Xenopus tropicalis: one gene and its partner. The protein of the gene in region 2 interacts with the protein of the main gene of each other region in a pairwise test. Links are inferred from orthologs where the notes say so. Each region holds a gene or a part of one and is shown on either strand. Other genes may lie near its edges.

Region 1 (3,753 bases), on a different chromosome or scaffold from region 2:
CCAGTGAGGGTACTATGAGTTTTAATGCGTTATCAATGATTGTGTTTCCTCCCACACTGAAAAAACATTTATCATAAATGGCTTCTGATCGAAAAATGATCGTGTGTGAATGCTATATGCACCTTAAGTTGTAAGCTCCGCTAGGGCAGGGACAGGTGTGGATAGTTATGGAATATGTTGGCGCTAAATAAAGAATAATTTGATATAATATATTATATATATACATACATGCACTGGGGGGCAGACTTCAAGTGGTAGTTTACCTTCACAAAACTGTGTTTCGTAAAGGTAGCCATACACTGTAAGGTCTGCTTGCTTGTCAATGTCATAAAGCAAGAGGATCTTTTCCCGATATGCCCACTTACTAGGGCCAAACAATCAAATTAAAATGGCAGGCATAGGTGCCACTGGTTCAGGTCAGATGCCGTTTGGGAAGGCCTGTCGATGGTGCCTATACACTGGCAAATAAGCTGCTGAATCGCTCTAAGGGACTGATATGGGCAGCTGAATCTGGCACATGTGGCCATCTTTACGTGTGGCTACCTTATTTTGGAACAGGATGCAAGAATTCCAAAATACAAAAAAATATTTTAAATATTTTAGAAGTAAATTGATACAGTGCAAATGGTTTCATACTGCTCAAGGGCACTACGTCGTAGTGTTCATGAAAGGCATGAAACATGCAGGGCAACTTTTTTATTTATTCATTTTTGGAGTCAATGCACCTATACAATACACTAAAATAACCCTCTGTTTAATACTGCAACTACTGCTTTTTCCCATTAAAAAATGAAACTATACAATTAATGCTACACCAGGGTTTTTTTCTTTTAGAGAATAAGACAATCTACTCAAACCCTGGCTGACAGAAAGACATCTTCCTGTCTGTGTGCACACAAGCATTTTCATGACAAGATCCATCCTGCCAGGCACTGACAGGCATGTAGTACCACACTAGGCTCCTGTCCCCTGGTGTAGATATCACATGGAGTAATATTGGTGTTTATAGTTATACTTTTCAGAATTAATAAACATTTTTGGAGAGCACAAGCCTAGCTAATATTATAATTGTACCTAAGTCTAATATGCAGGGTTGTCAATGATGCAACATCTTTAAACAACCAAGGAGGCTTCACCAGGGATATTTGTGTATATGCTGCAACCCAACAAGCTCTCTTGATAATCAGACTATAAATAAGATTTTTACAAGACACCCAAAAGCCTGGGCCACAACATTAGGGACTGTATACACTTTTACTTCTTTAAATAAATTACCAGTGCAGGGCTGCAAATGTATAACAGTTTTTCTGAGCAAGGTGCAGAGAAATAGTCCCTGCTATGTGCCCACAAGCCGTCTTTACTTTGGCATCACTGCACTTATGTAAAAGCTCAGTATATAGAGTGCTGGGCACCAGGTAGAACAGTGTGACTGTCTGCTGGACAATCCTCAGGCTCTCGTAAGCGCTCACCCTTCAAAAAAGGCATGTTTTCTGCACTTTGATCACCACATATTTTTTATCAGCCGAAGAAACATGTTTAAAATGCCCAAAGTCACTCACATACTAAAATATCTGCCTGAAATCACTGGTTTAAGCACCTGTCATGGCTACATACTGTCTCCCCTGAACACAATATCCCGTGTGAGGCTTTGTTTGGTCACAGCTAATGATGGATTTCATGTATCTGCATCAGAGAAACATTATAACATATAAAGGGCAGCCAATTCCATATCTGTTAGCAGCCATTTACATGGCAGGAGTGATGGTAGGAAAGTGATGCCCAGCACTGCCCCAGTTATCCCTCATTCCTTACTGGGCTATGTGTCCCATTATTATGTGTCCCCCTGCGAGCTTGTACCTTAGTCTCCCCTAGCGATCAGGCAGTGGGACAGGGCTGAGGGAGGACAAGGAGCAATAAGGCCCAAAATACAAGTACATATAACAAAATGCTATCCGATAACCTGTTCCCTTCCCAGCCAGGCCCACACACCCATTACCCAATCAATACAGCCTGTGGCCTTATGGTACATAGTTGCTACTGGTGTCCGTTACTGTAAATAGTGACTCTACCGCTGTAGTTCGGCTGTATGTGAAGGATGCTGGGAACTGTAGTCCCAAACTAGCTAGAAGGCCACAGACTAGACACAGGTTTGTGAGTTCTGATAAGTGCACTGCTCACAAAGGCGCTATAAACCCCACCCCTGAAACATACCGTATTACTTCCCTGCTCCCCTGAAGCTCCCTAAATACAGCAGCCCGTCACTGCACCAGCGGCAGGACAAACATAGCCAGGCCCGTGGAGGCCAGACGCGGGACAAACGTGTGTAACCCTGGGAAACCATCAAATTGGAGCCATGCAAAACGCGGTCAGGGACAAGTATAACCAACCCTGGGACTCCGTAGTCACATCTCTACGAGAGTAAGGAGGAGGGACAAGTAGGCGCTATCCCCGGGAAAACGAGCTAGGAAACATCCGGGCCTGTATCACATGGACGAACATTACCTTACCCCTTGTCTCAGAGCGCCGCTCACACCTGTAGTTACCCCTGGAGACCAGAAGGGGGATATATTGCGCTCTTTCCTTTAGGAACCTACCACAAGCACAAGTAGTATGAATGTGCTGTAATAAACCGTGGCTATGATACAAACTGCTCCATAGAGGGTTATAGCTGTGTGGTGTGCCAAGTGATCTGCCTCTCACAGCACTATGTTACTATTGCCTGCAAAGCTCCAGGCTGAGTAGCCTGCTTTCACATACATTATCCAATACAAATTACTAACCAGGTCAAAGAACTAATAAATGATTCGTTTTAGTGTGATGGACCAAAATAGGGAGCTGGAGCAAATAGAAGAAGTACAGATAAAAAGGAATATTTAAATGTGAAATTATGTGGTGATATGCATTCTCTGGTATATTTTAAGTTTATAACAGGCAGTGTCAGACTGACCCACCAGGATACCAGGGAAACTCCCGGTGGGCCCAGGGGTCAGTAGGCCCTCCTGCTCCAAACCATTTGGCCTGTTTCATGGTCATTCCCTATTTCTGAATGGGAACAAATACAAATAATAGATGGAAAAATAGATGCTAGCATGTAATAGGAGAATAATATTTTGGAGAGTGGGCCCATGTTCTAAGGTTTTCTGGTGGGCCCCTGGTATTCCAGTCCAACACTGATAACAGGTACAAGAGATCATTACACCAAACTGATTTATGCTTCCAAACAGTAGCGGAACTATACCTCCCCAGGCCCAGGTGCAGGGCATGCAGCAGGCCCCCCCTTCCCCCTTCTGGACACATTTTTGAGGCAAAGTTGCACTGGTACAACAATGCAAGCATCCACTGTCCAAAGTTCATATTTAATTATACCTACCAGTCCCAGACTGGCCCACCAGGATACCAGGGAAACTCCCTGTGGGCCCAGGTGTCAGTGGGCCCTCTTGCTTCTAACTATTTAGCCTATTTCTGGATGGGAACATGGAAGCTTGGTAAATGGATGAATAAACGTTAGTATGTAGAGAAAAGAGACTAGGATAATAAAGAGTTTGAAGGAGGAGAGGAGGAATTAAAGTTTTGGCAGTGTGCACCTGGCATCTCATTCTGACACTGATACTTAGCCCCTGCAATTACATATATATGATACTTCTTTGTTAAAAATATTTTTTTATTTACTGACACAACTATATCATATGACACAGTCAAGAAAAATGGTATGTGAGAAGAGACTTTTTTAATTATATACAGACAAATACTGGG
Region 2 (3,753 bases):
TGTGGTGTTACAGTTCAACAACTGTGGCTGGTAAACCATGGCCACAAGGTTAGTGGTAAATCAGGGGGCATATTTATTACAGTGTGTAAGCCAACATCACTAGTGATGGTGCCCATAGCAACCAATCAGTATTTAGAATTTGACAGTTACTTACAAGTTAGAAAACAAAAGATCACCAGAGATGTTGGCTTACACACTAAAAAAAAAAAAAAATATGCTGAGGTGTGTTGACAGCAAAGTCCTCTGGTGCAGAACAGCAGTAGTTAAAACACCAGTGTCACCACTGGTATTTAATAGCAAGGGCCCCTGTTCACACACAAAGAGGACCTCTGAGCGTGTGAACCTCCATGCAAAAAGTGACAGACCATTAGGAGTTGTGACAGATGGAGAGGAGCATTTTGACTTAACTGCATAAGCCTTTCCTCTAAAAAAGCATATCATAGTAAGGGCAACTCCATTAGGTTTCTGATATGTTAAAAAGGCAGCTATACATACACCAACAGTGTCAATTAATTTAAGCTGTTGATTGGCAGCAGAAAGAGCTCATTCTCTAGATGAGACATTCTCTATACCAGTGGTTGTCTGGCTTTATTAGTTCTAGACTCCACCACCCATGGCCACCAAACCTAACCTCATAACATGACTAAAGATATCTGAAAGAGACTGTTCCACATACTACTAGGTCAGGAAATAAGTTTTTATCCCAAATCTCACAAAGACTGGACTTCAGGCTAGACTGTCAAGTGTAACTAGAAGAGCAAATTGACAACTCCAAATTTCACTAATAGGGATATGATTCAGTGACAGTACAGTCCCAATGTTTCTTCATTAATGTCTTTGGCCAACAGTGCTGAGATCCACAGATGCAGAGAGATCCAACTACAGCAGCAACAGAAAATGAAGAAAGGGCTAAAGAGGACAAAGATGCTGTAAGGCAGGACTATGGTGGACTATTCTGGAATGACAGAACAAGAAATCAGATTCCTCACATTTTGATGCAGTACTAGAACACATGCTGGTGAGAGATTTAGAAGCAAGCCTGCTCTTCACTCTACCAAGATAGGACCTTTGTGACAGCAAAGTGATATAGGAATGGTGTAAAGTTAGTGGACCTAACCTTGCCCATTAAGGGCTCTGCCACACAGGGAGATTAGTCGCCCGCGACAAAACTCCCTGTTCGCGGGCGACTAATCTCCCCGAGTTGCCTTCCCCTGCCATCCCACCGGTGACTTACATGTTTGCCGGTGGGATGGCGGGTCATGGCAACTCGGGGAGATTAGTCGCCCGAGACAAGGGAGATTTGTCGCGGGCGACTAATCTCCCCGTGTGCCAGAGCCCTAAGAGTAAGGAAGGTGCCAAAGCAACAAGACTTTTGTTTGGGTGCAGGTTTGTAGAGAGAGCAGCTGGAAGGCCACATTTTCCATCCCTGCACTAAACACAGATCAGGTCAATATAAACCAACACCCCCATTACAACTGGTCAAGCTAAACACTGTATTTCTGCATGTGTCAGGCACAAGAAGCCGTAGGCAAGCCTATCCCCGTCCAGCTGCTCCCTATACAAGCAAGGCATTCTTATGAAGTCATGGTCCCGTCACTCCCACAATGGCGAAGAGGTAACCAAGCGTCTGAGCTACTGTCGCGCTATAAAAACGGGGTAACCAACCTGCGACTGCCCATCTGAGCTACTGCCGCACTGAGGCACGGCGCACAACAAAGATTTCCCGCTTGCTGCGCCTGCAGACAATGCCACGCCCCCTCCCCCATAAGGAAAATGCGAGATTTTACACGGAACACACTCTGCTGCGACTTCCCCACTCGAACTACATTTCCCAGCTTCCCCCATACAGCTAACCACGGCGGTCCTCAGGCTAGAGAACTGAACGATGTATGTCACCCCTTTAACGCAGTAAAGGCGAGGGGCGGATTTGTTTGACTGCAACTCTCAGACATTCGTAAGAGCTTGTATTGCCAGTTGCAGCCGAACAAATCCAAGAGCCGCAGATGCGATATCTTTCAGCCCATTAACTGCGCGCATTATTGGGGCACAGCGCTCTGCCGTCTGGTCTACCGCTCGGCGTTCACTTAGAGCAAAGGGGTGAGTGAAGACTACGGTGTAATGGTGGAAGCCACGTACAATGGCTTATGCTTACCCTCTTGGAACTTAGGCCTTGGGTCCTGCTTCGGCGCCATTTATAAACTCCGCGGCTCCCGGGAACGGATCCGCCGCATCTACTCACCGCGCGGACCCGCACGTCACCGCACGCCGCCTGCGCATGCGCGCAGGGATATGCCCAATGTGGCGAGCATGCGCAATAGCCACTAGCCCTCCCGGGGCACTATGGGAAATGTAGTTCGGCTTTAGTGGCGCAACCTCCCCCACCCTCACAAACAAAACAAGCATCTTCGCATTTCTGCTACAGTGGAAATAAGATGGAATGTTAATAAATAACATTTACTGTTCAAGACTAAATGCTAGGTAGGTACCTCAGGTATCTATTTCTATATCGATTTTAATGTTACTCGAGGCTGAATGCTTAGTTTACATATTCCAGAAAGTATTTTTTCATACAACGGCGCAAAATCTCACGCATTAACGTTTACTTAGTGTCTGGAAATACATAAGGCAAAATTTACCGAATGAAAACGTTACGCCCAACGTGGGGCTCGAACCCACGACCCTGAGATTAAGAGTCTCATGCTCTACCGACTGAGCTAGCCGGGCGCTGTTAATTCCGTTAATTTGCGCTCTAGTTACTAATAAGTATAAAGCAAAGTGAAATTTTCTCTGTTCTATCTATGGATTCTGGTCTTTTTTCCTCATAAAGTGTCAATTTACACTAATAACTCTTGCACACTCCTGCAGGGCAGGTATAAGCACAGAGGTCACCCACAGAGGCCAGCAAACAGTGGCATAACTAAAAGCTAATGGGTCTGACATTAAATTTATTTTAGCCCCCCCCCCTTAAAATTTACAAATAAGACAATTTTTATAAATCTATATTGCAGCTGTTTATTAGTCAATATCTTACAGGACCTCCTATTCCTCCTGGCAGTCCGGGACTGCAGCAGTGGCGTAACTATAGAGGAAAACCAGAACATATAGGGGCACAATTACTAATCCACGAACGTCCGAAAAGGGTCCGAATGCGTTTTTTCCGTAATGATCGGTATTTTGCGATTTTTTTAGTAAATTGTCGCAACTTTTTTGTAGCCGACGAAAGTTTCGGATTCATTCAAGCTTCAGTATCGTGACTTTCCTTGGGCCAGGTTGGAGCTGCAGAGTGTCATTGAGCCCTATGGGAGACTTTCCTTGGGCCGGGTTGGAGCTGCAGAGTGCCATTGAGCCCTATGGGAGACTTTCCTTGGGCTGGGTTGGAGCCGCAGAGTGCCATTGAGCCCTATGGGAGACTTTCCTTGGGCCAGGTTGGAACTGCAGAGTGCCATTGAGCCCTACGGGAGACTTTCCTTGGGCCAGGTTGGAGCTGCAGAGTGCCATTGAGCCCTACGGGAGACTTTCCTTGGGCCAGGTTGGAGCTGCAGAGTGCCATTGAGCCCTACGGGAGACATTCCTTGGGCCAGGTTGGAGCTGCAGAGTGCCATTGAGCCCTATGGGAGACTTTCCTTGGGCCGGGTTGGAGCAGCAGAGTGCCATTGAGCCCTATGGGAGACTTTCCTTGGGCCGGGTTGGAGCTGCAGAGTGCCATTGAGCCCTATGGGAGACTTTCCTTGGGCCAGGTTGGAGCTGCAGGGT

The links.
Region 1: the proteins of morf4l1 (region 2) and zbtb9 interact in binary tests that used the Homo sapiens proteins (3 or more experiments, as listed by UniProt). The two-hybrid records come from large-scale screens. The link is inferred for Xenopus tropicalis from reciprocal best matches to the Homo sapiens genes MORF4L1 and ZBTB9.

Annotation. Positions count from the first base shown.
Region 1 is NC_030684.2:71,795,873-71,799,625, forward strand, and holds the start of zbtb9 (zinc finger and BTB domain-containing protein 9), read right to left. Parts: upstream 2,568-3,753; 5' UTR 2,508-2,567; intron 2,485-2,507; exon of another isoform or gene 2,388-2,484; intron 2,382-2,387; exon of another isoform or gene 2,212-2,381; intron 1-2,211. UniProt on the Homo sapiens protein: May be involved in transcriptional regulation.
Region 2 is NC_030679.2:118,096,233-118,099,985, forward strand, and holds the start of morf4l1 (mortality factor 4-like protein 1), read right to left. Parts: upstream 2,257-3,753; 5' UTR 2,193-2,256; coding exon of another isoform or gene 2,153-2,192; intron 1-2,152. UniProt on the Homo sapiens protein: Component of the NuA4 histone acetyltransferase (HAT) complex which is involved in transcriptional activation of select genes principally by acetylation of nucleosomal histones H4 and H2A.